Linked DNA regions of Mus musculus. The main gene of each other region encodes a partner of the protein of the gene in region 4 in a complex. Links are inferred from orthologs where the notes say so. Each region holds a gene or a part of one and is shown on either strand. Other genes may lie near its edges.

Region 1 (3,949 bases), on a different chromosome or scaffold from region 4:
ACTCTTGGTTGCAGAGAGGTGTATATGGGAGGGCAATGTGAATGAGCTTAGCATAGAGGCATTGATGTGTGTCAAGGCCTGGCGGAGGGGTCACATTTCAGTTCCGTCCCTCCTGCTGACCACTGTCAGGTCACTGTGTCACAGCTGAGACTGTGGGGACCACCTACTGATCTACTTTTAACCGCCCACATACGATTTATGGGCTGTGACTTTTCTTATGCCCTTCTCTGATTTTTGTCAAATATTTGTGGTCTTGGTATCTTGTTGATCTTAGTTTCCTTTTTGTATTTTATTGATTGATGCTTCGACACGAGTAATGAGACAGATAGTCCAACCAACCAACCTTAAGTATCTGAAGCAAAGTCACTCGAGATTTAGGATGTGCAAATAGGGGCTACACATAACGGCTCAGTGGTTAAGAGCACTGGCTGATCTTGCTTCTGCAGAGGACCTGAGTGTAGTTTCCAGCACCCACATGATAGCTCACAGCCATCTGCAACAACACTTTCAGGGCCTCTTCCAGAACCCTTCTGACCTCTGTGTATAGCAGGCATGCATTCAGTGCACAGACATATGTGCATGCAAACATTTATACACATAAAAATAAATCTTAACAAAATGTATAAATAGAGCTTGGTGGATTGAATAGCACTTGCTTGGTAAACACATGATGATTAGAGTTAGACTTTGGGGGGTTTTTTCTATTTTTTTTTTTTTTAAGGTTTACTTATTTATTTTGTGTGCGTGCTCCATCTGCATGTACACCTGTGTGCCAGAAGAGGGCATCAGATCCCATCACAGATGGTAGTGAGCCACCTTGTGGTTGCTGGGAATTGAACTCTGGGACCTCTTAATGGCCGAGCCAGCTCTCCAGCCCTGCTCTTTCCATTTGGACAGACTGACTTGGAGATGGAGCTAGCACACAGTGGTCAGCTCTAGTCTAGTGTGTAAGAGACCCTAGCCAATCCCTAGCTCCCTAAACAAAGAACAACAGGAATAAGAGCAAGGAGGGAGAGGAAAAAGAAACTCCTCTCTAGGGGCTGGAGACAGGGCTCAAATCTGTCCTTACAGAGGACCCAAAGTTTTCACCTTCCTCAGGCAGCTCATAGTCACCTATACCTTGAGCCCCAGGGCATCTAACAGCGTCTTCTGGCTTGCATAGTCCCCACCCACCCACCCACCCACCCACACATATAACTAAAATAAATAACTGATTTTGTTTGGTTTTTTTGGGGGGGTTGTATGTAGGTGTTTGGTTTTGTTTGTTTGTTTTTATTTATTTCATGTATGTGAGTACAATGTAGCTCTCTTCAGACACACCAGAAGAGGGCATCGGATCCCATTACAGATGGTTGTGAGCCACCATGTGGTTGCTGGGAATTGGACTCAGGACCTCCAGAAGAGCAGTCAGTGGTCTTAACCACTGAGACGTCTCTCTAGCCCTTCTTTTTCTTTTTCTTTTCTTTCTTTCTTTTTGTTGTTGTTGTTTGTTTGTTGGTTGGTTGGTTGGTTGGTTTTTGGTTTTCCAAGACAGGGTTTCTCTGTATAGCACTGGCTCACTTTGTAGACCAGGCTGGCCTTGAACTCAGATCTGCTTGTCTCTGCCTCCCAAATGCTGGGATTAAAGATGTGTGTGCCACCACTGTCCAGCTATAACAATTCTCTAAGAAAGTAAATCTCTTCTTTTGTAGTCCAGAGAAGAAGACCGGAACCAGGATGGAAAAATGGATGTGCTGTACTTTAAACTTGAACTTCCCCTGCAACCCACAGAGCATGTCCTCGGTGTGCAGCTAATCCTGACCTTCTCCTACCAACTGCACGTGAGTCTGTCCTCACATATATGTCTGCATGTCAGAAGAGGGCACCAGATCTCATTATAGATGGATGTGAGCCACCATGTGGTTGCTGGGAATTGAACTCAGGACCTCTGCAAGAGCAGTCAGTGCTCTTAACCTCTGAGTCATCTCTCCTTCTCCTCCTCCTTCTCCCTAGGGAGAGCCACACTGCAGATGGCTCTTCTATGGAAAGTGACTAGGAACTTAACATAGACAAATTGAGTATTCAAAGTAATAGGCCTTTCTGGGCAGAAAGTTCCTGAGTGGGCTAACACACTCATGCCGGGCCTATCATCTTCAGCTGCTGACAAGTGAGTTGTGGACCCCCAGGCTCTTCAGACCTGACAATGTCATCATCTCTCTCCCTAATGATTTTAGAGGATGTCAACATTCGAGATGCAGAGCATGGCCTTTCTCCAGTCCTCCTTTGCTGTCCCTGGGTCACAGTTATATGTGAATGGCGACCTGAGGCTGCAACAGAAGCAGCCACTGAGCTACCGTGGCCTGGACATCAGATACAACGTAAGGATGCCCTTGTAGTCCAGCACCTTCAGGCCTAGGCTTATCACAGCCTTCAAAGGACAAGAAATTTAAGCTTAGAAATATAGCATTTAGTTCTTCTTATGTGTACGAGTGTTCTGCCTGAATGGATGTTGGGCACCATAAATGTGCAGTGCTGGACCCAAGCCCACGTCCTTAGAAGAGTAGTCAGTGCTCTAAACCACTAAACCATCTCTCCAGCCCCATCATGAATTTTCTTTCTTTCTTTCTTCCTTCCTTCCTTTCTTCCTTCCTTTCTTTCTTTCTTTCTTTCTTTCTTTCTTTCTTTCTTTCTTTCTTTTTATAAAGATTTATTTATTATATACACAGCATATATAGTTCTGCATATATATCTGCATGTCAGAAGAGGGCACCAGATCTCATTATAGATGGATGTGAGCTATCATGTGGTTGCTGGGAATTGAACTCAGGACCTCTGCAAGAGCAGTCAGTGCTCTTAACCTTTGAGTGATCTCTCCAGCCCAAATTCTTAATGTAGGAAGGGAGTTGGAGGGCTGGCTCAATGGTTGAGAGCACTAGCTGTTCTTCCAGAGGACCCAGGTCTGATTTCCAGCATTGAGGTAGCAGCCTACAACTGCTTGTAGTTCCACTTCCAATGGCTCCATCATCCTCTTCTGGCCTCCTCAGGCACTGTGCACAGATGGTGCACAGAAACACATATAGACAAAACACACATACACATAAAAAATAATAATTTTTTTTTTTTTTTTTTTTTTTTGGTTTTTCGAGACAGGGTTTCTCTGTATAGCCCTGGCTGTCCTGGAACTCACTCTGTAGACCAGGCTGGCCTCGAACTCAGAAATCCGCCTGCCTCTGCCTCCCGAGTGCTGGGATTAAAGGCGTGCGCCACCACGCCCGGCGATAAAAATAATAATTTTTTAAAGGTTTATTTATTTATTTTATGTATATGAGTACACTGTAGTTGTCTTCAGACACCCCAGAAGAGGGCGTAGTTGCTGAGAATTGAACTCAGGGCCTTTGGAAGAGCAGTCCATGATTTTAACAACTGAACCATCAATCTAGCCCCTAATTTTTTTTGTAGAAGTAAAAAAGGCACACCTTGGTTTATACCCGGAGAGAGAGGGGAAGCATTCTTACTAAAGAACCAAACTGTCTATTGCTTTCAGGTACACACATTCCAAATGTATTCTGTGTTAATTTTTGTCGCTGTTTGTTTGTCTTGTTTTGTTTCTTTAAAACTGTAGCCCTGGCTGTCCAGGAACTTGCCCTGTAGACCAGGCTGGCCTCAGACTCAGGCAGGGATACACCTGCCCTGTTGGGATTAAAGGCATTCATCATCACCAGGCCAACTTCTGCTAGTTTATTGCTTGCTGTGACCATTCCTGACAGAATAACCTGAAAGGGGAAAGATCTATTTTGCTCACAGTTTCCTCCCTGTGGGAGGGAGGGGAATAAAGAGCTCCTCATGCTGTGTCCTGAAGGAAGGAGAGTGAAGCAGCTTGGGACCAGAGCAAGATGCAGCCTGGAAGGACAGGTTCCCGTGCCTTGCTTCCTCCAACCAGATCCCACCTTCCACAGCTTCACACCCCCTT
Region 2 (3,949 bases), on a different chromosome or scaffold from region 4:
TCTGAGCTAAGTCCTTGGAGCCAGTGCTGGTGTCCAATCCCAAGTAGTGCTCCTCACTGGGTCTCAGAGACCACAATGTCTGTGTGTGTCAGGATAGGCAGGGTTACAGAAATGAACCAATGCTAGGAGGGGTTTGAAAAGAATAGAACACTGAAAAGAGAAGAAGAGAAAGGAAAAGAATAGTGTATGGAAATAGCCCAAGGACTCGTCTCTAAGAAAGTGTTAGCAAGGAGAATATTTTCATATAAGTTGCAAAACCTGAGATAAAGATTAATGTTTAAACATAAGCTACTGTGATTTGTTTCTTTATGTTAATGGATTTGAAATATTTTGAAATAACTTTAACCATTGTGTTTTAATATAGGAAAATAACTATATTATATAGTTACATACATTTTATATATATATATATATGTTGTAAATAATAACATATATCATATAAAATACAACAGCATACTTAAAAATATGCTGGAAGTTACATAACAGTAATGTTTGTACCTAAAAATGACTACAAAGAATAACCAATCACATTTAGTAGAATTTTATAACTGGAAGTCAGGAGAAATCCAGCCCGGTCAGTGCCCCTTCTCTCAGTGAGGAAACTGCAGTGCACAAGCGTGTGTGCAGCTAGTAACAAATCTAGTTGAGTAAACGGCATATTTCTTTCACTCCAAGTTCAGGACTCTTTCCATTATATTCGTGGGTAATTTCTTATGTGGCTCTTTAGAAATCCAAGAATGATCTATTGTTTCAACAATTTTCTCTGATTTCAGGAAAACCCAGCCAGCTGAGCCACAGTATGCTAGCGAGCTAGGGGTGGAAGATGAAGACATACTCACAGATGAGCAGAGCACTCTAGAACATCACTCTAGGTTCACGGCACCCACCGGAGTTAGCCAGCCTGTTGGCAAAGTATTTGTGGAAAAAAGCCGTAAGTAACTCCTTGTTTTGGAATACAATTGCTCTAAATATTGTATAGGGATATCTTTAACCTGGTGATGATAGTTCTGATGACCTGAGTGAAGGAAATAATAAAGTAATGTAGAGGAAAATTGACACACAAAACTAGTCATTATGCTATTGTTTTTTTTCCCAACTGGATTTTATTTGTTTTAAAATACATTTTTAAATAAATAAGTCCCATTAGTGACTGTGTTCTCTGTGCTCCCAGGGAGGTTTCAGGCGGCGGACCGTTCCGAGTTGATAAAGACCACAGAAAACATAGATGTGTCAATGGACGTGAAGCCATCTTGGACTACCCGAGATGTGGCACTTTCTGTGCACCGAGCTTTCAGGTGGCTGCCTTTTGTTGGTGTTCGTTAAGCAGATGTTAATTGGATATCATCATTTAAAACCAAAGAAAAAAGCCTTGGTTGTTCTGTACTTTGTAAACAGTTTGACAATTTAAAATGGTATGTAGATTTAGTTTTGTAGACATTCCACTTGTGCTTCTCATAATATGTTAAATTGTATTATATTTGAGGAGATTTTAAAAATACCTTAGCCTTTTATTTTAGTGGCTAATATATAATTAAACTTTTCTCCTTCTTATCTTTGAGTACTTTTCATAATTTATTTATTGACTTTACATACCAATCACAGCACCGCTTCCTCCTGTCCACCCCGTCCTGCCCATATGTCCCTCTCCTGATTACCTGCTCCCTCTCTCCTCAGAGAAGAGTAAGTTCCCACCCCACCCTGGGACCTCCATTCCCACAGTAATTAAACTCTTCTGTGCAGGATGGTCGGTCTGTTCTCTCATGGCTTCTTGGCTGGCTGTGCTGTGTGGAATACTGTTGTGATCTACGTTCTTGCAGGAGATCAGCTGTCTAATGTCTCCAACCTTCTGCAGCAGTACAAGCCCTTGGCTTATCCCTTCCAGAGCCTTCTTTACTTGCTTTTGGCTCTAAGTACAGTTTCAGCATTTGATAGGTAAGGCTGTTGTGAATGTGGGGCCTTCTAACCTTCCTTTAGGAAGAAATAGTGAGCAATATATGTCACTATGACTTTTCAAGGTAGAATGTTTGTTTTTTAAACCAGTCTTTGGATTAGCATGGCCTTATCTTCATTTCAAAGTATCCATAGAGATCTCATTTCCAAATAAAGTCACCTTCATAAGGACTAAGGTTAGACCATCACCACTTATTTTGGGAAACACATAGGTCAACCCATTTTAAAAAATATCAGCAGGACTGGGGAGATGGCTCCATGGGTAAAGATGCCTGCTCTCATGCCTGCTGTCCTCAGTTTGCTACTACCTAGGACCCATATTGTGGTAGGAGACAACCAACTCCTACCTCCACATGTGCACCAAAGCTCATAACTCAAGGTGTGTGTGTGTGTGTGTGTGTGTGGCGGTAGGTAGACTAGAGAAGGGAACACCACCGAGGGAAGTACATTGTGTTACAGCTGCACAGTGACAAAGCTTTCATCTCATTCTAGGACTGACTTTGCTAAAATATCAGTAGCAATCCGGAACTTTTTGGCCCTGGAACCAACAGCTTTAGCTTCTTTTCGTGAGTAATAGTTACTGTGATAACTATGTTATAATTGAGGAGCAATTCTGTCACTTTGAATCAAGAAAAATATTGTATAGAAGGTTTATATTATTTCTTCATATAAACCATTAGATCAATGAATTTGTAATTTAAAATGTGGTAGGAGTAATTTTTTTAGAACTATTCTTTTGTTTTTGTTTTTGAGGTAGGATCTGTTACATAGCTCAGGCTGGCCTTGAACTTTGTGTGTGGTTGAGAATAGCCTTGAACTTCTCATTCTGTTTGCTCTCCTTTAAATGCTGGGATTTGTAACCACCCAGTGCCGTGCCTGGCTTGCAAGTGTTTCTTATTTGAAGATCATCCAAATGACTTTCAGAAGTTGAATGTATATGTGAGATGCTGGGTTTAATGTTCTGCACCAAAAGTAATAAGTAATGTTAAATGTGTGGCCTTCATTACTTATTCAGCTTCTGTGTTTTCCACTTGGTAGACACAGCTGGCATGGCCTTTTAGTAATGAATACCATTTTATATATTTCTGGCATTCTACAGTACATTTTTTGTAGGTTACAAGATTCTATTAAAGCGAGTTTGAGGACCTTGAACAAGTAATTTAAATTCTTAAAATCCTTTTAGGCTCTTTCTTGCCAGTTCCAATGATAAAATTGTACTCACCTATTACACTCTGCACCGTATTATCTACATAATAAAAGCTGCCTAGTGGCATTAAATGTATTTCTTTTGTATAATCATTCACCAAAGTGTGGCTTATTTTGGTCTTAAAATTCAATATAAACAGCAGTCAAATTTATTAGTAATTTCACTTCTTCCCCCTCAGTGTATTTTACTGCTCTAATACTATCTCTGAGTCAGCAAATGACAAGTGACAGAATCCACCTTTACGAACCTTCTGTCAATGGAAGCCTCTGGTAAGAATCTACAGTAATATGCTAACAGCAGCAGTGGGGGAGGAGGAGGGCAATGATACCATTCCACATTTTCATCTGTAGATCATAACAAGGCTATGTTTCTGTTTATAATAAACCATGAGAAGAAAACACCTGTTCTGTTGGTTAATGGATAATGACCTTTTTATATTTTTACTTTTGTTTTTCTTGACATGTAGTTTCAAGTAGCCAAACCTCCTTATGTAGGTGAGGCTGGCTTTGAACTCCTGATCATACTGCCTGTCCCACCTAAGTGCTGTGATTACAGGCATGAGCACTGTACCCAGCTTATACCTGGATTGTTAAACTATCATCTTTTTAAAAATATGCAGCGGATTGGAGGTGCTCTATGCCTTTACCCCATGCAGAGAGCCTAATACCACAGAATGATGGTAGAGAGGGTGGCTGGAATACAGCCCAAGAACTGCTAGGAAGACAGTGTGGGAGAAGCAGCATTCACAGATGAGTAGCCAGCTGATGGGTTGACCAGATGGCTGAAAGTCCA
Region 3 (4,504 bases), on a different chromosome or scaffold from region 4:
CTACTAAGCTTTCTATATGCTTCTCCAGACTGACAGCCCCATTCAGAAGGGATCCGTTTTTACTTCACTGGATGCATAATTCTTAGAACTCAAGTCACAAAAGCACATTCTGTGTAATGAATAAACGCATGAGCACAAAATCTTGTATTTTCCAATCTGGGAGGATTTGAAAACAATTTAAAATAATGCAATTAATAACAACTACAAGAAAATTCAAAAACAAGGAAATATAAAAGGATATATATATACCTCCAGTTCATTTTCCAGTTTCATTACTTTTGTCTTTAATTGATTTTCTATTTAAAAAAAAACACAAATGTTTTAATTGGTTAAGTTTCCTATAATCAGATTTTAAGTAAACTTTAATAAAATAGTACTGTTCTCTGTAAAAGATTCCATCCTTAACAGATACAGGAAAGTAATTATTATATACTAAATGCATAAAATATGCATTCTAGAAATGCCTCATGTAGAGAGCAGAGGAAGGCTTCAGTGCATGAGCCCTGAGTCAGTGTGTACTACTGACATGGGCAAAGCCACGTCAGGAACTCCAAATGTCTCAGGCCTATGGCAAACGGCAAAGCCTTCCCTCCTCGTCTGACTGTGGATGTTGACAGGGTGTGCAGAAAATGTCCCCCTAATGTTTATGGCTCCCTTATAGAGACTACTCCTACTGAGATTTGATAAATCTGCCTCCCTATTCAACAGCAGAAACCCTGCCTTCATGTTTATCTGTATGCACTCACTCGACTTTATGTTCAGCTATGCAACAACTCCACTGCTCTGGTCAAGTGGATATAATACAGACAGTGAGCTTCTGGGGTGGGGCAGTTGCTCCATTAGAGAGCCTGGTCCAACCGAAAACAACTGTTCTAAGTGTCTGTGTGTTTTCTTTTCTTCACCCCCTACCACAGCACTCAGGCCAGTACCTGGAACTGCACAAGGATGTAGCATCTTTCAGTATAAATTGAATACATATGTTATAGAATAGGATAGATTTTATACTGTCTAATAAGTAATGGAACCACAGTAGTTTTTTCCCAAGACATTTACCAAATTTTGCTTGTTCTTCTCCAGCCTTTTCAACTTCTTCCAAAGCGAGCTCTACTTCCTGGGCTTTCATCTGAACATTAAAACGAGAGGGGAAGAATCTGTATTATTTACACTGTAATGTAAACAGTGGGAATGGAAACTGTGTGGAATTTGCTATCTCAGTCTGTAGTGTGTACGATGACTAACACACAGAGACAGTCAGTAAATAGTTGTTGAATAAATACATAAGGCTAGAAATTCCAGAATGGCAAGACTTTGAATTATATCTGATTTTTCCGTTAAACTTTATAGCCATTACTTAAAATGTTTTCAATATCTTTTTTACTATCCCAATTGTTATTATTAATAAATTTAGTAATTCCTTCTTATAATTGGAACTAATCAGCTCTCATCCCTTCAGTCTATACAACACATTTAATGTTGCCTTCATAAGTACATTTCTTTACCAAGTATGATTTAAAAACCTTTATTCCCTTCTAAAATGCTGATAACCAAAATATACTCTCAAACTCTTGAACAGTATATCCCAAATTACTGGCCCCAAATATTTTTCTATATGCTTTTACCTTAATGTAAAGAATACATATTCTTTCTCAGTATTTATTTATGAAGAATCTAGAATCCTCTTATCATTTCATGTATAGCTTATAGGGGAGAGATTTTGTATTTTATTTGACCATATGATTCTTTATGACTCTTTATGTTTCTCCTAAAAAATATTTCTTTTCCTACACACTCTTTCCTACAAACCTTCATTAGAGACTGGGTAATTCTGAATAGATGTATCATGTTTTCTTGGTCTTCATTTTTTAGTTCATTTACTTCCACCTAAGGAAACAAACACACAAAAAATGGACTATTTCATACCCTGCACATTAAATACAAGCACTCTTCCAGTTATAGCATTCAATGATTTCAAGAAGCAATTTCAATTCATGACATTGTACATCAGGCTCTGTGTACAAATCATTTATTAAGTACCTTGGATAAAGATATCAATAATTTATCTGCTAACTCTTCTTGCCGTGGCAGGTCATCTGGATCAACTTTGATTAATTCTTTCCACTTTATATTAGGTGGCATCTTGAATTCTTTCACTGTCTCTCAGCCTCTACAAAGAAGCAGGTGGATTTTAGCATTTTCAAGGAAAATGGCCTTGCAGTGTTTACATGATCATGAGCGGTCTTACTTAACTCTCTAGGTGCTGGCTAAGAGCTATGGCTCCTGAACTGCAAAACAGATGCAGAGGCAAACAGCCTCGACGAAAATTAGTTCCCCTGACACAGGCTATACGATAATGTACACGCTAAATTATTATTTTCTTGCTAAGACGAATTCGGAGCTAAAACCCCGAGGCCCCTTTTCCAAGTCCCCTACCATCAATGATGGTACCAACTCCCAAGATGTTTGGAAGTTTTTGAAAACCTTCTGAGGAAAGGGGACCAGAGGATTTTTAAAGTAGATAAAAAGACTGAGCTAAATGAAGTGTTTGCGGAATCAAGCTCAATCAGGGAGGCCGAGACGACACTGCAGACAAGAGCGACAGAGGTCTGGATAGGTAGGGCTGCACCCTGTCCCTCGGGATTACGATCCTGTGAACGACACTAAGCGGCTCCGGCTCACGAGGATCCACCCACCGAAACCAAGACCTGCCACCAGCAGCAGTCACTCATCTACAGCGACCACCTCCGGGTTCGGCCACCGCCCCGGCCTCACGCTTCCCAGAGCGGTCCTCGCGCACTCAGGCTGCTCCCGCCAACTCTTCCCGACCGAGCCGAAGCGGCGCCGGCTGCTAGGCGACACCACTCCCCGCCCCCCAGCCTGCCAAGACCGGAACTAGGCCCCGGGATACCTGGGAAGACTACATTTCACGACCCTGGAAAAAGCTTTACGGCTCTATTTCCCCTCCAAGCCCTCCTTACTGTGGATGAGGGAGAGCCGTGAGATGAGGACTCTACGTCCCAGAGTGCAGTTCGGCGTCGCGGCTGTGCATCCTGGGATTGGAAGTTTTTGGGAAGAGCGGCGCGTTCCCGGCGTGCAATGCGGGAGTCTGCGGCCGCCCTGGAAGAGCTGGGGGAAGGCTCGGGAGGCGGGAGGAGCGGCTGCTAAGGTGCGGCCGCCCCGGAGTCCGAGCGTGGCAGGCTATGACTGTGTTTTCTGCGGAGTCCTTCTCCGGTCCACCATCCCAGAAGCTTTCCTGAACCGTCTCCTGGCGGAGCCGCCCTCAGGTGAGGTCGGGGCGTGTCAACCCACAGCCAGGAGTAGCTCAGGGAACCTTTGCGTTTTTAGGGAAGCGCTAGCTTGGGGCTGCCGAAGGGCTGGCGGATCTTGCAGAGGTTTGGGAAAGAGTCCTCCGGCTACTCAGGTAGGTGCGAGGGGCTCCCAGTTAGTGGCTTCCCTAAGAGGGGAGTCAATAAAAGTTTCCAGCCTCCTTGGTGTCTGGGAAAGTGGAGCGCCCCCACCCCCACCGCACCCCCTGAGTTCACGCTCTGGTTGAGTGAAGAAGGAGCGTCAAGATGGGGCAGCCTCCTGCAGCAGCTTGCGGATTGTAGTGCTTATTAGGTTAATAAGAGTGGAGTGAAGGCCAAGGAAAGAGGAGCCTTAGTGCGCCCAAGGCTCTTAAGCCGGGCTGGAGGGAGGGAGGAGGGCCATGCCAAGCGATGGCATTTTGCTGTCATTTGCTGGGTACCAAGGGAGTTCTTGGGGGAAAGTGCCTTCTCCTTCTCAGATGTTAATCTTCTTACTCAGGGAACTGTTGCCAAATGCACAGCTATTCTACACCAGCAGGTAACTTTAGGAGCTGTAAGCATCTATTTGAAAGAGTGCGTCTCGTATATATGTATGAATGTATGTATGTATGTATACGTGGATAGATATATAAGGTACTTATACATATCATACATAATAGATATTAAGTAATTAAAAGAAAAATGTAGACAGTTACATTTTTCTTTTGAAAAGATTTCTGCGGTTGAGAAAAACAAATAGCACAAAAAAATGGTATTTGAAACAAATTTTAAAGACGTTCTTCAGATTTGTAGGCCTGATTGCAGTGTTTGCTTTATTTCTAAATACTGTTTAGTTTTGGAATTATTCTTTGTGGAGATACAGCAGTATTATCCGCATTGTCCATCTAAGAGATTGAAGCTCGGAGAGGTTAAACGCTGTTTTCTTATTTAATGTGATGAACACAATCATTCATTCTACAAGCTAATGTTTGTGAAATGCGTGATATAGTTGCACTTCCCAGTTTCTCTTTTAAACGTTAATACTAAGCTTTACTTGTGTTTTGCACATTTAATTTTATGGCTTCATTTACTCAAGAGTTTGAATTATTTTTCCTGTTCATTTTGTCAGTAGTACTAAGAAATGAGACTAGTATTTATTAAACACATGTAATATGTTCACTAGTATACTACCTTAAGAATTTGCTGTTTTTAATCACAATACC
Region 4 (4,719 bases):
CTGATATCTTCCTTCTCCCCATCACACACACCACACAAACATGTTGGCTCATGTGTACACTGTACACACATATGTTAAAAAGTGAACTCTGGGTTCTCTGGTACGGTGAGACATGAAGACACAGACATGGCTGTCTTGTAGAAAGGTTATTCACACAGATCCTTCAAAGCAGGAAATGTCTTATAATTCTATAACAGAATATCACAATGGATATAAATTTGTTTCTTGGGCTGGGAAAAAAATGACTCAATCAATAAGATACTGGCCCAGAATAAATACTGAGCTCAGGTCTCCAGCACCCACATAAAAAGCCAAGTGGCTACAGGCATCTATATTCCCAGCACTGGGGATACAAAGACAGACCAATCAACCAAACACAATCAGCAGCAGTCTCCAAAAACAGCATTCTCCAAACATCAGGCTCCAAAAGAGACCCTTTACTGGGGTTTTCCCTGGAAGGAAGGTTGTGGCATGGTAAGTGTGCTGGTGGGTTTAGAATTAAATAATTTGACTTGTTTCAGAATATTCTGGATCATAGACATGCTCCCTAAGCACCTGCCTCCAGAGTGACTTAGAGCAGAGGGGTACTTCTTGGTGATTGCAGTAGATGGAGATGCCAGCTTGGGGTCAGTTAGTACGTATCAAAGAGAATATATGCATTTCCTTGGAGTCATTTATTGTCTCTAGGAATTAGTTAGCTTCAGAGATCTATCTAAGACCCATGCAGTGAATGCCAGAGCTTTAGGGATACAGAAAATAGGGGCTGGGAGATAGTTCTATTAGTAAAGGGCTTTTCATCACACAAGCATGAGGACCTGGCTTTGAAGGTGGCTAACACTCAGCATGGTGGCCCACGTTTGTTCTATCAGCACCAGACAAGCTAAGACAAGCAGGGATCTGGAGTTAGGCAGGCAGCCTAGCCTAATCACCAAATGCCAGCTTCCAGTCAGAGGTCTTGTCTAAGAAACAAAATGGCAGGCTTCTGAGGAACAACACTTGGGGTTAGGAGGCCGCGGTCTGTGGAGTTCCTTGATCTGTGGTTGTCTTTGGCCTGTAGAGTCTGAGTCTGCTTACTACTGTTCTCACTACTTGGCCTTTTCTCCTGGTTTCTTGCCTTTTTTTTTTTTTTTTTTTTTTTTTTTGAGCCATCTTGTCTGTATCCCTGCTGGGCCGCTGGGTCATTTGTAGTGAAGAGTTGAAGAAACAGAGGTTAGGCGTGTGCGGTCCAGCTTCTGTGCACAGCCAGCCAACATCCCTAATGCAACACACGCTGGAGCTCTGATAGCTCTGATGCCCGGCCACATAGTCTTTGCTACTGCTTACTAGGCAGCTCCACACAACATGGCCCCTCCTGATTCTAAACCACTCTACTTATCAACACCTTCTGTCCTTGACCCAACAGGCCATGCAACCCAGAGACATAAGGCAGGACACCCTGCTGAGAGCCTGAGTCCTCTCTGCTAGGCTGCCCAGTTGCTTTCCCTTTGTCTCTCTTCAGCACGTTATTTTTCCACTGCTTGCCCAGCAAGCTCATATTCCAAGTCTTAAAAGTAAACTGCCACTTTAAAAAAAAAAAGCGGCCGCCTAGTGACCTTCCCTGGGAACTGGTTGCTAAGCTGGTGTTTTTTTTTAAACCCTGAGATATGGCTGCAGCTTCCCAGGGAGTAACCTCTCTTACCCCAGCCCACCCTTTCGCTCATTTCTAAAAGGTTCTCTGGCTTGACACAACTGGTCTCTCATCTCATCCCTTCAGCCCAGCAAGTGGAATCTGCAAACTTCGTTTTGTAGAGTGGACGAAGGTAAATCAGTCTTTAACAGAGACAGGCTGCAGTGTCCTGCTTTCCTCTCCTTTCCGTTCCGGCAGAGAAACCAGCCCCTCCCTGGTGCAGTGAGAGTGGAATGAATGCTTTGTAACGTTAGGGACTCTCATCTTGCTAACATTAGAGACCCTTCATCTTGCTTGCAGTTTCACTCTCTCAATGCAAAGTGGGGGCACTGCAGGGACAGCTCTGATTTCAGCTGCTGTCTGGCTTGCAGGGGAAAAGCAAACCGGTTCACAGAGAGCCTCTCTGGTCAGTGTGCTGCTAAGCACTAGCTGCGTGTTGCTTTCGGGCCTTTAGTTTAAACTGCTCCGGGGAAGGGGAGGGCGGGCCGGAGGGAGTACTCTCCGTGTGGCGAGCTCCACTTTTCTTGTTATTGGACAAAGAGCTCTGAACCGCAGGGCTGAGGTCTGCCAAGCTTTCAGAAGTCTACTGGCCATCAGCTCAGCTGTTTTCATTTTAGGTGCTATGAAATGCTAGGTGCTATGAAATGCTAATAAAATCTAATGAGAAATACATGTCTGCTATTGCATTTTATATAACATTTCTGCAAATAAGTGTAACGACAGCATGCTTTGTATAGAGGGGAACTGTATATGGATAGAGAAAATATGTGCATATATGTATACATAGAGATAGAGAGATATGCACATATATAAACATAGATCAATCTGTATATAGATAGTTGGCCTAGAGTTCACTTACAGAGTCATTTATTCAAGTTTTTAGTGAGCATCAATGATGCAGCAGATGAAGAACTCAAGTTTACAGTGTACAAAACCAACTTAGACCAGGTCCAGTGGTGAGACTTTGCTGGGGAAGCAGATGTAGAAACAGATAATGAGATCAGTGACAAAACAGACTTGTAAAAAGGTCTAAAGAGCTTGGCCCACAGCGGGACTCCTGCCATAGAGGTGCTTCCAGCACCCCCTGTGCAGCTGAGCAATCCCATGAGCAGAGCCTGGGTGCTGACCTGGCCTCATCAAGTGAAAGGTGTCCCGTCCATCTGATTAAATGACCACACACAGCTGTGTCACTCACCTGGTACCCTAGAAGCTGGGGCTAGAGTAACTTGCTGCTACATAATTAATCATTAAAAAGGCACAGGATGGCTCCTGAGAGTTCACAACTTTGAGCGGGCCCTCCCACTCGAAAGGAAAAGCCTCGTCTCTGAAGAGAGAAAGTGAGCATGCGTGGAGGGGAGGAGGTTCCAGCAACATTTTAAACAGACGAGGGAAAACAAGTGTCCTGGTCCTGGCTGGAGGAAGGGGAGAAGAGACTTGTGTATGGCTGTCAGGGATGGGTGACAAAAACTAAAGAGAGTAAAGGGATAGCACTCAACACCCTAAGGTTTTCTTATGGTTCTCTTCCATCTCTGAACCTCTGTTTCCCCTCTCCATCCCTTCCTCCCACCTCCCCTCGCAACCATGACCTCTTCATCTGACCATCCTGGTTGGTAAAAAGATACTCTAAAGACACATTTGTGTATCTCCTTCAGCTATCGGACCATTAAAACAATGGACTCTAAGCCATTAAAACAATGGACTCTCAGAGCTGTATTTTCTCAGTATTGAGCGCTGGGAGAAGGAAAAGATGGGCTGCTCGTACCAGCACAAGGGAGGACTTGTCTCCAAAAGACAGTTCTGACAGCTTGTCAATCACCTTGCAGAAGGTACAGGGACAGAGACAATGCCATGTCAGTGATGGAAAGGACCACACTGACCAAAATTGCTTAGCTATGTATCCCTCCTGGTACCTTTTATTCAGACCCAAATTTCATATCAGGACCCTGGAAGACTGACTGTGACATTACTGGGCACCTCTGTTCCACTTCCCAAAGTCATCATGTTGTCTCTGATTTGTCCATTATTTTTCTCTTTCATTGCCCTACTGGGGCACTGGTGGCCAAACCTATCTTGTTAGAGTTGCCAACTGTTCTAACCCAAACTCTGGCAACATCCATAATAATAAAACCATAAACCCTACCAACACAGAGAGCCTGGTCTGTGACAGTCACTTTATTACAATCATTTCAGTACAGAGTCCATCATAAGAATGGGTTACCCATAAGAAATGATGATCACCTAAGGTGGGACATTTGATTATGAATTTATAGAATTGGCTGTGTTGTTTCAAGATCACACACTGGTGAGAAAATGGGGATTTTGAACCTAGGACTATGTTTTTTTTCCCAAAGACCTCACTCTTTAAAGCCATAATTTCTTTGTATAATTAATACACCATCCTTTCGGAGCAGTCTCAATTAAGAAGTACTTTATATAGTATAGCCATTTCCTCTCAGTCCTTCTCTGTATCTTGGAGGTTCATCCCTGGATTCTTGGATATGACTCTTAATGGCTGACTTTAGAGACAGTTCATGTGGTCAGAAAACAGTGTAGATACTTTCCTTTAAAATTAGTTGGTTATCTGCCCTGTGTAAAATAGATTATTGGCCTTGTGTCACCTATATAATTAGGACATTGCTATAGTGTTTGTGGTTTTCCATTGTATTTTCACAGCAAGGACAGTATAGACTAGTGATGGTAATCTTGTTTTAACAAAATTAAAGTGGGGCCATGGAGAGAGAACTTTGGAACCACAAAGCACAAAGGTCAGACTCTGAGAGGGAGATTTCAAACCTGTGGCCTCACATGATTTCGGAAATCTTGGTTTGCTTGGGTCTAAATTGACACTCATCCTACTGAGAGCTGGTGTATCAGGGTGAGCAGAGCGAGTGCACAGGGAGACTGCCAAGCTCCAGCTCCACACACCCAGGGCTTTTATTTTGACACTGTCAAAGAATGTATTAACAAGTGGCCATGGCCAACACTGACGACAGGGGCTTATTAAAGCTGAGCGAGCGGTGTTTATTCATCTTTTTGGAGCCAGCAGTGCTCAG
Region 5 (3,949 bases), about 79 Mb from region 4:
TGACAGGGAGGGAGGGCTGAAGAGAGGAAGAGGTGACTCAACCATGGGATAATGTCCAAGGCCCCTCCTGGTTTCTAAGTTCTTATTAGTGTTGTGGGAGGGTGAGGCACCTGGGCTGCCATATTCAGAGTCCTTTACCCTCCTTAGTCCCTCCTGTTTTCTAAGTTGGTCCTCCAGGCCTGAGTTCTAGTAAGTTTGAATTCTCAAATTGTCCTCAAATGTGACAAGGTGTAGCTCTCTCTTAGTACAGACTTCCCCAAGCGTGCCTTTTCTGTCAGGACCCCTGGCCTGAGAGGGTATGGAGCCATGAGATGGGAAGGACAGCCATGTGATGTTAGCATCAGGCTGAGGCTCGGCCTGGGAGACCAGAGTCAGGCCCTGGATACCTTCTGTGCCAGGGATGTGACCCTGCCGTGAAGACAGGTGCAGCAAGGGACCAAGCAGTGACTCTCTCCCCAGTGTTAGGGCTGAGAGGCAGTGTGGGATAGTGACAGCAGAGCAGGCAAGCCTCGGGAGTGCTGCTGCTGAGGGAGGATGAGACAACAGAGGGAAGTGTGGTGGTTACCACAGAGATGCAAGAGTGGTCCTGAGTGCAGAATCTGCTGTCATGGTGGTGGTGTCTCGATGGTGAGCGTGGCCTTCGCTGAAGTCTGGGAAGGCTGTAGAGACTCATCTGCTTGTTGTGCCTAACTTAGCTGTGCTTTCTTTCTGTCTAGGTACCTAATTCAATGACACAGGTAAAAGCATAAAGCCTGCCTGCCTGTCTGTCTGTCTGTCTGTCTCTCTCCGTGGTGAGTGTGTGTGGGTGTGTGGTTTGTTGGGGATGGGCTAGGAAGGATGTGTACACGAGTGTACATAAGTCATTGGCCAGAGGTCAAACACAGGTATCACATTCTTCGAGTTATCTGATTGTTTTAAGGATAATTTTTACCCTGGCATAGAAGCACATGGCTTTACTCCCATCAATTGGAAGTCAGAGGCAGGCAGATCTCTGTGAGCTCAAGGCCAGGGTGGTCTACATAGAGAGTCCCAGGCCAGCCAGGGTAACACAGTGAGATTCTGTTCTCAAAATAAAATGGAAGACGTGTCAGGCCTTTCTGTGACACAGCCTCTAGAAAGTGCCTTGTTTCTACTGTTTCAGACTGGCCCTGTCCTCGTGCTGTTTAGATCCAGTGGCTTTTTTTTTTTTTTTTTTTTTTTTTTTTTTTTTGGTTTTTCGAGACAGGGTTTCTCTGTATAGCCCTGGCTGTCCTGGAACTCACTTTGTAGACCAGGCTAGCCTCGAACTCAGAAATCTGCCTGCCTCTGCCTCCCGGGTGCTGGGATTAAAGGCATGCGCCACCACGCCCAGCTTTCCAGTGGCCTTTTGATGTTAACAAGAGCTAGTTAAGTCACAGGGTTCCCCACTTGGCTCAAGCTGTTGAGGTTCCTTGGTGGCATAGAGAGTTGTGCAGACTAGATTGCCTTTTCCTGTCACCCATGTCCCCATGCTGTCTCCCTGAGAGAGTGACTGTGACCTGGGAGGGCAGTTGCAGGTTTGCCTTGGTCATAGGAGCAGCGTGGAAAGGCTGCATGTTTATTTCTAAGGTGATGGCTTCCACACTTGCCAGCTTAAATTATAAACAGTTCAGCATAAGTTGAAGACAGCTTGGTGAGCAGGTGCTTTGGGCGTCTTCCCAAATGTCACCTGGAGAGTCCTCGTCAGAAGCATCCTGGCATCCTCAGGGGTCCTTGTTGCTTAGTCACTCTTCTGGAGCTGGTCCCCATCCAGGCTCCCTGATATCATTTAGAAAGTTTGTCTGACTTTGTCCTTCCTGGACCCTGCTGCCTCGCCAGCCACTGTGTGTGTGCTGCCTGGAAGGCAGGCTGCATCTCCTGAGGCAGTGGTTTGCTCTGGGAAGCTGGGCTTCTGGCTGTGAACCTAGGACTGAGTGTGTAGGAGCATGGACTCTGTCTTTTGGTGTTAAGCATAGTGTGTGTGTGTGTGTGTGTGTGTGTGTGTGTGTGTGTGTGTGTGTGTGTGTGTAAATACCTGTCCTCTTGCAAGAGTGAGTTTACAGCATGCACAGCGTGTGGCAGTGTGTGTGTCCCCTGCTTTGCATTTGCTGTCACTAAGTATTCATTTTAGGCTCTGGGTACTGTCACCCGTGCTTTATGTCACATGCGGTAGCCTCATACCCAAGGATACTCTCCCTCTCAGGTCTCCATCAAGATCCAGTCTGTAATGTATCGGTCTCTGAATCACACACTGACGCAGTTAGAAGGCCATGGTGTCCTGCGGCCATCTCTGGTCAGCACTGGGCAAGACAGACTCTGCAGCAACGTTGTTCTCCAGGTAGGCATCCAGTGTGCCTCTGCAGTCCTGTCCGACTGCCTGACTCCAGCCTGTGGGGCACAGGGAACGGCACACCGTCCAGAGGGCACTGTGCTCCATACCATGCTGATACCCTTCTTGGTCTGACCTCCAGTTGCTTCTGCTGCTCTGCCCTGTCGTCAGAGGACATGTCTTTACAGGTCTCCATAAACCTGACACGTTGTAAGAATACATCAAAATGTTTTCGTCAGTGGCTAGAAAGATGGTTCAGTAGAGTAAGAATGTTTGTTCCACAAGCATGAGGACCTGAGTTCAAACCCCCAGCACCCACGTAAAAGCCAAGCATGGCTACTACCCCTGGCTATAACCCCAGCATTGGGGAACAGAGATCGGCAGATCCCAGGAGTGCACTGGTCAGCCAGCCTCACTGAAATAGAGAGCTTGTGGTTCAGTGTGAGACTGCGTCTCAAGGCAACAAGGCAGAGAGTTACAGAAGAAGACACCCAGTGTCATTCTCTGACCTCTGTATGTGCACGCATGGACACGCATACACACTCACGTATATGTAGCACACATAACAATTTATTGTCACCACTGTTTACTTGATTGGACTCATTTCTTCTGCAGAAATAGACTGTTCCTATTGTGTTTGAGCCAGCTGAATCTAAAATGTCAAAAACCTGAGTACACAGAGGCCAAGGTGACCACTGGGATGTTAAGGGGACATGAGTAATGTGATTAGACAGCAGGCTTGGGGGCGTGACTTTTCTGTGGCTGCCTCTTTAGAGTTGGTAACATGGCTGCTGAGCCCCATTCCATCTCAGGTGAAGTACAGTCTGCTGTACACAGCCACAGGCCAGATCCACGAAGCCGGCCTCTCCCTCGTTCTGGGGACACTGAGCAGCGCTGTGAGTCTCCTGCAGCAGAAGTTTGAGATTCACTTTATTCAGGTGAGTCTGAGAGATCTGCGTGGATGGCAGATGGAGAAAAGCCTGGCTTTTGGGGGCAGCACCGTCAGTCTAGAAGCATGACCCAGCTCCCAGGCTGCGCTGCAGGAGCTGTGGGGTTTGCCTGGAAGCCGGGTGCTGTCCCGTGCCTGGCAGGCTCACCGAGTGCTGTCCTCCCACTCTCCGGGATCTATTTATACTTGAGAACAGAGGGAGCTGTTCTTCCAGATGTTACAGTGAGAAGCACTGGGTTGCCCCCGCTTGTACCTAAATACTGTAGCCCGGGGCATCACCTTGTCTTTCAGCATGGCACCAAGCCTGTTCCTCTCAGCGGCAACCCTGGTTACAGGGTGGGACTCCCGCTGGCTGCTGGCTTTCAGCCTCAGAAGGGGTATCCTTTTGGAGGTCCGCAGAGAAAGTCACCTTCCTGTCTGCATGGGTGGGCTGTGGTAGCCTATGGGAAAGAGATACCTGACTGGCCACTCCAGGCCACTGGAATGTTTAAGGAGAGCCTGGTGCTTGGGGGGAAGGTGGCAGTGCATTTAAAAGGACAGCTAGATGTAGAAGGGTTTGACTCTTTGATTCATTTGTTCACTTTTGGTTTTGTGTTTTTGAGAAAGTCTCTCTTGCTATGTACTGAGCTCACAATATAGACCAGCCTGGCCTCAAACTGACACAGATCCTTTTG
Region 6 (3,732 bases), on a different chromosome or scaffold from region 4:
AGAGATAGATAGGGAGGAGAGGGACAGGAAATGGGCCAGTTGCCGTTGCTCACACAGGCAGAGGTTCTGCTCAAAGGGGAAGTGAGTCTTCGAGGGAGGAGGAGGGTATCATGTCAGTGCAGCTTTTCTGGTTAAAACACAGCAGATTCTGGGAATGAGGACTGTTGACTGAGCCTACGTCTGTCCAGCTTGAGCAGGGACATCCCCAACTAAGAAGGACCCTCCAAGCCCTGTCATCAAGGGTTCCATTATAGGTAGAAGATAGACCTGTTTCCAAATGTGGCCAGCACAGAGGCCCTGGAAACACAGAAGTCATCTCTGATTGGTCCCATGGCCTTATAGGGCAGAGCAGTTAGAGTTCTGCTGTAAAGGGCCAAGAGAAGCTAACTAGGCCCAAGGACAAAGACAGAGGGTGGAGTCAGAGAGCTGGAGCCAGGTAGAAATGGGGAGGTGTGTCCTGGGTATTCGCTGTCTGTGGGTGAGAAGGACAGTGGGGGATGAGGCGGCAGGGACAGAATGTAAGGCCTCGCCTGCAAAGGCACTAAGACTGATTCTCGAAGGCTCTGGGGAGCCCAAGAAGAAATGGATGGATCAGATTCTCCTTCTGAACAATTGTACTAGTTTGTGAGGGTGATACGTTGGAAGTTTTCCTCAGTCCTGGCCTTAGCTGTCTTCCTCCCTGTTTGCTTCCTTCTTAGTCTCTCAGCTCACCAACAAACCCTGGCGGCTCTGAAACCCACTTTTGTTTCTCACCCCATCCCACCCAGCCTTCTCTGTCCATCTTCTCTTTCCGGGACCATTTTTTGTTTTTTGTTTTGTTTTGTTTTGTTTTGTTTTTCAAGACAGGGTTTCTCTGTATAGCCCTGGCTGTCCTGGAACTCACTCTATAGACCAGGCTGGCCTCAAACTCAGAAATCTGCCTGCCTCTGCCTCCCAAGTGCTGGGATAAAAGGCGTGTGCCACCACGCCCAGCCTTCTGGGACCATTCTTTCTTTCTGTCTTCACTGTGCTCTCAGGGTTGGATACTGGACTGGACCCTGGGAGGACCTAAATACAGCATGTTCTTCCTCTGTATGGAACCTGCCTGCAGGCCTCCTATCGCTCAAGAGAAAAGCCGGAGCCTTCTCTGGCGTCACAGGCCTATGGAATCTGGCTGTCACCTCTGTCCTTTGTTCCCCACGACTCCCCGTTCTAGCCTCATTGGCCCCACCAGGCTAGCTCCTACTTCGGAACTTTTGCACTGACTGGATCTGTCATTCCCCTAGGTGCCTAGAGAGCCCACTTCTTTAAGCATTTATGTTGCATCCTGGTTGGCTTGTTTGCTTTTTGAGATAGAGTCTCAGAACATAGTCCAGCCTAGCCTGGGGCCTCAGCAGCCCAAGTGTGTGCCAAAATGTCACCCTTCAGATATGTAGCCCTGGTTGTCCTAGAACTCATTGTGTAGCCCAGGCTAGCCTTGAACTTCTGGGGATCCTCTTGCCTCTACCTCCCAAGTGCTGGCATTCCAGCTGTACACTGCAGTGTTCAGCCCCAAATGTCACCTTCTTTAGGAAAGCTTCCTTCAGCTGCTCCCCAATTTTCCAAACTACATCTCCACCCCTCCCTTTCTGGCTGTTGTTTTTCCCCAGAGCGGTTATCACCATATGACATACCCTATAATTTACTTATTTACTATGTTGGTTGTCTAGGATGTCAGCTTCACGGGGCAGGAATTTTTGTCTGCTGTGTTCATTGCTGTGTCCCCAGCCTGGAGAACAGGGCCTGCCAGGGGAGGGCTTAGGGTTGGGGGGGGGGGGGGCTGGGCTGCATCTCCAAGCATTGGACTGTCAGGCTGGGACACTCAGCTGTGCATTGAGGCCACTAGAAACCTAACGAAGGGGAGAGATGGCTCCACTGGGGAAGAAAGGAAATCTGAGTCAGGTGCGTGAGAGCAAAGCAAGTCCATGAGGAGGAGGGCGGAAGGGGTCTAAGCTGAGGTGCTGACCTGGGGGCCTGGGAGAGTGAAGAGACCACAAAGGGAGGTCAGACGAGGCCAGACTTGACTTGAGAGGTTGGACTTTGTTCTGTGGCCCAGGGGAGTCATGGGAGGGTTTTGAGCAAGAGGGTAATGTGGATTGCTCTAGATTCCTGTGACTACTATGTGGAGTGAGTGGGAGATGAGAACCCAGAGAGGAAATTCAGGCAATAATCCAAGGTAAAAGTACTGTGCGAGGTCTCCAGTGGTTTCAATGCTGGGAACCCGGGAGCAGGGTTCTGCCCCTTTGTCCTTTTCTCTAACGCCTCTCCTCCCGCAGGTTGGCCTCGACTCCATCTCCAGGTGTGGTCCCAGGACAGCTTTGGCCGCTGCCAGCTTGCTGGCTATGGCTTTTGCCATGTGCCTAGCAGCCCAGGCACTCATCAGCTGGACTGCCCTACATGGAGGCCCCTGGGCAGTTGGAGGGAGCAGCTAGCACGGGCTTTCGTGGGTGGTGGGCCACAGCTGCTGCACGCAGATACCATCTACAGCGGGGCTGACCGCTACCGCCTGCACACGGCCGCGGGTGGCACAGTGCACCTTGGTATCGGCCTGCTGCTGCGCCACTTCGATCGCTATGGAGTGGAGTGTTGAGGGACTTCATTGCTACTAATCGCCATCATCCACTGAGCACATAATGGCACAGCAGTGAAGCAGGCACGTGGACTCTGGAGACTGTCAGTCCTGATCACCCCCAAGTCATGGCCCCTATGCCATGGACTGCAAGGCCAGGAACTCCCCTGTGGCCCATGCTCCACTGAACTACGGGGTAGAAAGGGCTGTGGGTTGGAGGGACATGAGCAGGGCCCACTGTTTGGACTGTCGGGGGCACTTAATAAAAGCGTGTATTTCTCATGGGTAAGGTGCCTCCTTGTATCCGCTAAAGCTCTCAGACGTCGGTCTCCTTATTTCACTCTCCTTGACACTCTCATCCGCAAAGTCTGCCCCTGCCTTTCGCTCTCCACCGCCTAGGTCCCCACTTCTAATACAGGACTCTGTTTTCTCACGAAGTCCCAATTTTTCCTTTGACCCTTCAACAACTCCCAAATCCACCGGGGCGCTTTGGTTGGTCACCGGCTTTAGTAGTGCTCCGCCGCCAGGAGGCAGCACCCTGGAGGTGGGGCGAGGCCGGGGTGCCCGCCCCCTCCCCGCAGGGCTGAAGGGACCCCCCTTGGAGCCCGCCCACGCTAAGATGAAGACAGTGCCCCCCCATGCCCTCCCCCTGGGGCTGCCCCCGCCCCGCGCGCGCTTCCTGGGTGGGGCCGGGGCGGCTTCAAAACCCCCGCCGCCCCAGCCGGTCCCGCCGCCGCCGCCGCCCTTCGCGCCCCAGGCCGTCCCCCTCCTCCTCCCGCCGCGGATCCTCCAGACAGCCAGGCCCCCGGCCGGGGCAGGGGGGACGCCCCTTCGGGGCACCCCCGGCTCTGAGCCGCACTCGGAGTCGGCCTCCGCTGGGAGCCGGCAAAGGAGCAGCCGAGGAGCCGTCCGAGGCCCCAGAGTCTGAGACCAGCCGCCGCCGCAGGGAGGAGGGGGAGGAGGAGTGGGAGGAGGGACGAGCTGGTTGAGAGAAGAGGAAAAAAGTTTTGAGACTTTTCCGCTGCTACTGCAAGTCAGAGACGTGGGGACTTCTTGGCACTGCGCTGTCTCGCAAGGAGGCAGGACCTGAGGACTCCAGACAGCCCTGCTCACCGTCGTGGACACTCGATCGCTACCCGGCGTTC
Region 7 (4,636 bases), on a different chromosome or scaffold from region 4:
GGGAATTGAACTCAGGACCTCAGGAAGAGCAGTCAGTGCTCTTAACCACTGAGCCGTCTCTCCAGCCTGGGGCTGAGTTTTATTTGTGGCTTACTAAAGAAAAGTGTGTAAGAGCACGGCTATAGATAAAGCCCAGTGGGGAGTGTTTGCTTAGCAGCCCCAAGCTTTGGGTTAGACCCCAGAGGGCAGGAGACCCAGCTGCATATTCTAAGGTTCCTGCAGGTTACTGACTTAGTCTGTGTCCACTTTTGGTACCTATGCTGTTGTGGCATCCTGACATGAAACAGCATCATTTTCTTAACCAACCAGGTGATATTAAGGCTATAGATTATATCATCTCTGTTGACAATGGGTAAACTTTTCACTGTAGCATGAGAACTATATGTGTATACAATATCAAAATGTTTAGGCAGAGTGATTTAAGACCCATAATTTACAAAAACAAGCAACTGGTCCACCCTCCTTTCCTCTGAGACTCAGAGCAGGGGTGTGTATGAAGGTAGTTCAGATGGGGTGCAGGGACCAGGGCTTTCTCCATCACCTCACCTTGCCGTGGTCCTTTAGTGGGAACTTAGAATTCCATTTAAGACCTGCCAGAACATTGTGACACCCACTTGAAACCCCTGTACTGGACGGGAAGCAGAGGCAGGAGAATTTGAGGCCTGCCTAGCCTACATAGGAGACCTGTCTAGCCAAACTAAACCAGACCTGAATAAGGCAGTGGAAGGCACAAGCAGAAGTGAAGGAGGAAGGAGAGCAGAGGTGGAGGTGGGGAGTGATGGAGGGAGGCTTCTACTTAAATTATTCTCCCGGAGTGAGGACCTGCTTTGAGAAGCAACAATTACTGCCTTTATCCACACTCCTACTAGGTAGGGAAATAGCACTTTCATTACAGGTTACTTACTCTCTCCCGTTATTTGTTGACTGACTGCCATACTCTAAGGGCTGACAGCTGGAGTCTTTTCAGAAATCTTACTCTTTCACCCCCTGCCTGCAACAACACGCTCTTGCTTCAAATTGCGGCCAGGGTTCGTTCATAGCGCAAGCTTGTTGGAAACATTTCTCAATTTCCAACTGGCCAGACGCTGTCTCCTTTCAACACCCTTGCACTCTTTGGGTCGCAGGAGAATCTCATTATAGCACCGCTGTTTTCCCTTGTACTCCTAGAAAGGACATTCTATCTTCAACGGTTTTGGTGTTTACATAGGCTCCAGGTAAGCCTTTTGCACGACAGTGGCATGGGGTGTTTTTAAAAAAAACACATGCAGTAGAAAAGAGAATGGTGGGCGCAGGGCCGATCCTCCAACTACTCGGCCACACCGGGCCACTAACGACCTACGCCATGACGCCGGGGATGGAGAGAGTTCAGCTGGAGAAGTGTTCTGGTCTCTCTGCCGTCGTTTAAAACCCCATCCTCCCCCTAGACCACTGTAGGTGGTTGACGGCTGGCGCTGTTCTGTGCATGGGCGCGGCCGGTGGGGTAACCATAGAGTAGCACCGGCAGGCAGAGCGGCCAGAAGACCGGGCGGCTCGGTGCCGCGCTTCCGGCAGCGCCGCATTGCTCCGGGCGCTGCAGTGTACGCAGTTTCCATGGGGACTGAACATGGCGCCGCGAGGTGAGACTCTGGAGGTGTGTGTCTCTGCCCCTTATCCCACGGGTACCTGCCAGCCCCCTCCACCTCTCTGTCTCCAGAGCTCGACCTAATCCTCCATTTCTAAAAGTCGGGGTCTTACTCTTCACTTGTCTAAATCGGGCTTGGGTTGTTCTGATCACCCCGAGTGCCTGCATGGGTACTCGAATACCGTACTCTTAAAAATCCCCGGCTGGCCCTATTCTGGGATGGCTCAGTTATGAATCCTCCCGCCTTGGACAGAATTAGTTTCTGTGCCTCAATTTCCCCCTCAGAAGTGACAGGGTTGAATATTTGAGGTGCCTCTCAGCTGTGATTATAGCTGAATTGTCAGAGAAGTAGATGTCAAAGTGATTCCTGAGAAAGGAGATTGAAGGCAGTTCCTGCCACACCAACACTCACGTCATTAGCAATCAGAAGTTTCTCCCTCATTCACAATAATCTTGTGATTTCTCCGGATTACAAAGAACCTTCACACAGAACAGAGTAGAGCTCTAGCTGCCCTGCCCATTCTTTGTTTTGCTTTCTTTCAGATAAAAGATTGTCCTCAACCCCCCTGGAAGTCCTGTTCTTTCTGAATGGGTGGTACTATGCTACCTATTTCCTGCTGGAGCTCCTTATTTTCCTGTACAAAGGTAAGCCTGGGCCTATCTGCCTCTGCCCCAGCAACCCTTTTCCACTTTAGCATACTCCAAGAACCTTCTATCTTCTGGTCCTAGCGGCATCTCCATTGCAAGGCAGAAGTCTCTCCAACTAATGGCTTTAGAATGATCAAATAGGATGTCTTTCAGCAAGACTTGAGTTTGAGAAATGTGGGTTTCTCCATCCCAACTCTTTCCCCATCTCTCTTTACTAAAATATTCAGATCTGTGTACCATTATAATTCAGTCATTTGGCAGAGTCAGGACTTGGAAACTTAAAGCCTGTAGCTGTAACAATCTATACCTTGCTGATTTGTGAGATGTTAAGACTGGTTGGTATCCTTGTCCCGGGTTTGTGGCCGTCCATCCTTGTGGGGCCGTGGGGCTGACCGTTAGCTAGGTGGTGTGTGCATACTCTGGCTTTCCCTCCTGTAGGGCTCCTGTTGCCGTACCCAACAGCCAACTTAGTCCTGGATGTGGTGATGCTGCTGCTCTATCTTGGCATTGAAGTCATACGATTGTTTTTCGGTGAGTGTTGTTCAGAAAATATTTCCATTGCTTATGAGACATGCTGGAGCCTGTAACTTGATTAACAAGACAAAGAACCTAGGCTCACTATCAGAGTGGATCTGGTAATGTATATACCATTGCTTCTTCCCTGAGGCTTCAAGCTGCCGCTTCATATTCTAGGTCAAGGTTTACCTGTGTGTTTGTGAGTGAGGCTAGAAGCGGGCAGTAGCACTGATCTTAGACCAGTCCTCCCAGCTGCCTGAGTGCCACAAGAGTGCCTGCGTCTTCTCCTTGCTCTGAGAGAGGAAAGCAGTACATTCCTAAAGAGCTCAAGATCCCCTCCGCTTCTCTAAACAAGGATTTCTCTAGAAGTTCCTAGACACCAGAGAACAGAGCAAAACTGCTGATTACTTAGAATATATCATCCTAGTGCGAAAATACAAACCTAAGGGAGAGAATGGTAAGGGATACTAACAGTCAATTCACAAAAGTCATTATAGAGGACCAAAAACCTTGCTAAGGTGAGCATGGTGGCACATGCCTTTAATCCCAGTACCCTCTGGCAGAGACAAGGGGATGGCTATGCATTCAATTAGACATAATGAATTCCAGTGCAGACAGGGATGCGTAGTTAAATAGATCTTAAATAGATCCTAGCTAAAAAAATAAAACAAAACACCAAAACAATAACAACACTTGCCAATGTGCTCAAACCTAGTAAAGAAAAGCAAGAAAAATAAGGTAAAAAAATTTTTTTTTATATATTGGCATTAGTCAGAAAGATTTATACAGTACAGTATCCATATTTGGCTTGTGATATACATATTTTTTAATTAAAAGTCATTATTTTATGCCGATGGATATTTTGCCTGTATGTATGCCTGTATACTACATGTATGTCTGGTGCCCACAGAGGTCAGAAGAAGGTCTTAGGCTAGAGATGGCTCAGAGGTCTAAAAGGACTTTTAAACCTCCTGCTTTTGCAAGAGGACCCCAGTTTAGTTCCGAGCATCCACATCAGGTAACTCACAACTGCCTGAAACTCCAGCTTCGGGGATCCAATGTTGTCTTCTGGCCTTTGTAGGCACACACAAACACCCAAGTGAGAATTAAAAGTTAAAAAGAAGAAGAAAAGGGCATCAGATCTTCTGGAACTACAGTTACAGACTGTTAAGCTGCCATGTGGGTGAACCTGGGCCCTCAGGAAGGTCAGCAAGTGCTCTTAACCACCCATGATCCATCTCTGTAGCCCTAAAGAACAGATATTTTGTTTTTGTTTTTTTGTTTTTTCGAGACAGGGTTTCTCTGTGTTGCCCTGGCTGTCCTGGAACTCACTCTGTACACCAGGATGGCCTCGAACTCAGAAATCCGCCTGCCTCTGCCTCCCAAGTGCTGGGATTAAAGACGTGTGACACCACGCCCGTCTAAGAACAGATATTTTTAATGCACTTAAATTATTGTACATATTAATTGAAGTTTTAATGTATATACACATTTGCATACACACATGCATATTATAGCTATACATATTTTACATATACACATATAAATTACTATGTGTATACACATGGATATATGTATACACACAGACACACACACATACACAATTTGGTTTTGGTTTTTTGAAGCAAGGAGAACAGGATGATCTTGAACTCTCAATTCTGACCTTATGCGTGCTGGGATTCTAGGTGTGTGTTCCATGACTGGCTCTGTTACTTTTTTTGTCTTTTTCTTTTTTGAGACAGGGTCTCTTTATGTAGCCTTGACTGTCCTGGAACTCTCAATGTAGACCAGGCTGGCCTCAAAATCAAGAGACCTACCTGTCTCTGGCTCTCCAATTTTTTTCTTGATACA

What was found.
Region 1: Cc2d2a (region 4) and Tmem231 share a complex: the UniProt entries of both Homo sapiens proteins name them as parts of the tectonic-like complex. The link is inferred for Mus musculus from reciprocal best matches to the Homo sapiens genes CC2D2A and TMEM231.
Region 2: Cc2d2a (region 4) and Tmem237 share a complex: the UniProt entries of both Homo sapiens proteins name them as parts of the tectonic-like complex. The link is inferred for Mus musculus from reciprocal best matches to the Homo sapiens genes CC2D2A and TMEM237.
Region 3: Cc2d2a (region 4) and Cep290 share a complex: the UniProt entries of both Homo sapiens proteins name them as parts of the tectonic-like complex. The link is inferred for Mus musculus from reciprocal best matches to the Homo sapiens genes CC2D2A and CEP290.
Region 5: Cc2d2a (region 4) and Tctn1 share a complex: the UniProt entries of both Homo sapiens proteins name them as parts of the tectonic-like complex. The link is inferred for Mus musculus from reciprocal best matches to the Homo sapiens genes CC2D2A and TCTN1.
Region 6: Cc2d2a (region 4) and B9d2 share a complex: the UniProt entries of both Homo sapiens proteins name them as parts of the tectonic-like complex. The link is inferred for Mus musculus from reciprocal best matches to the Homo sapiens genes CC2D2A and B9D2.
Region 7: Cc2d2a (region 4) and Tmem216 share a complex: the UniProt entries of both Homo sapiens proteins name them as parts of the tectonic-like complex. The link is inferred for Mus musculus from reciprocal best matches to the Homo sapiens genes CC2D2A and TMEM216.

Annotation. Positions count from the first base shown.
Region 1 is NC_000074.6:111,916,699-111,920,647, reverse strand, and holds part of Tmem231 (transmembrane protein 231), read left to right. Parts: intron 1-1,691; coding exon 1,692-1,820; intron 1,821-2,213; coding exon 2,214-2,357; intron 2,358-3,949. UniProt on the Homo sapiens protein: Transmembrane component of the tectonic-like complex, a complex localized at the transition zone of primary cilia and acting as a barrier that prevents diffusion of transmembrane proteins between the cilia and plasma membranes.
Region 2 is NC_000067.6:59,106,021-59,109,969, reverse strand, and holds part of Tmem237 (transmembrane protein 237), read left to right. Parts: intron 1-773; coding exon 774-931; intron 932-1,171; coding exon 1,172-1,295; intron 1,296-1,740; coding exon 1,741-1,932; intron 1,933-2,442; coding exon 2,443-2,516; intron 2,517-3,335; coding exon 3,336-3,426; intron 3,427-3,949. UniProt on the Homo sapiens protein: Component of the transition zone in primary cilia. Required for ciliogenesis.
Region 3 is NC_000076.6:100,485,939-100,490,442, reverse strand, and holds the start of Cep290 (centrosomal protein of 290 kDa), read right to left. Parts: upstream 2,862-4,504; 5' UTR 2,691-2,861; intron 2,165-2,690; 5' UTR 2,137-2,164; coding exon 2,035-2,136; intron 1,882-2,034; coding exon 1,804-1,881; intron 1,124-1,803; coding exon 1,054-1,123; intron 297-1,053; coding exon 250-296; intron 1-249. UniProt on the Homo sapiens protein: Involved in early and late steps in cilia formation. Its association with CCP110 is required for inhibition of primary cilia formation by CCP110.
Region 4 is NC_000071.6:43,660,761-43,665,479, forward strand, and holds the start of Cc2d2a (coiled-coil and C2 domain-containing protein 2A), read left to right. Parts: upstream 1-1,618; 5' UTR 1,619-1,799; intron 1,800-4,615; exon of another isoform or gene 4,616-4,719. UniProt on the Homo sapiens protein: Component of the tectonic-like complex, a complex localized at the transition zone of primary cilia and acting as a barrier that prevents diffusion of transmembrane proteins between the cilia and plasma membranes.
Region 5 is NC_000071.6:122,247,235-122,251,183, reverse strand, and holds part of Tctn1 (tectonic-1 precursor), read left to right. Parts: intron 1-716; coding exon 717-737; intron 738-2,200; coding exon 2,201-2,335; intron 2,336-3,138; coding exon 3,139-3,264; intron 3,265-3,566; coding exon 3,567-3,652; intron 3,653-3,949. UniProt on the Homo sapiens protein: Component of the tectonic-like complex, a complex localized at the transition zone of primary cilia and acting as a barrier that prevents diffusion of transmembrane proteins between the cilia and plasma membranes.
Region 6 is NC_000073.6:25,683,687-25,687,418, forward strand, and holds the end of B9d2 (B9 domain-containing protein 2), read left to right. Parts: intron 1-2,294; coding exon 2,295-2,608; 3' UTR 2,609-2,876; downstream 2,877-3,732. UniProt on the Homo sapiens protein: Component of the tectonic-like complex, a complex localized at the transition zone of primary cilia and acting as a barrier that prevents diffusion of transmembrane proteins between the cilia and plasma membranes.
Region 7 is NC_000085.6:10,552,693-10,557,328, reverse strand, and holds the start of Tmem216 (transmembrane protein 216), read left to right. Parts: upstream 1-1,565; 5' UTR 1,566-1,603; coding exon 1,604-1,616; exon of another isoform or gene 1,617-1,630; intron 1,631-2,164; coding exon 2,165-2,266; intron 2,267-2,707; coding exon 2,708-2,800; intron 2,801-4,636. UniProt on the Homo sapiens protein: Part of the tectonic-like complex which is required for tissue-specific ciliogenesis and may regulate ciliary membrane composition.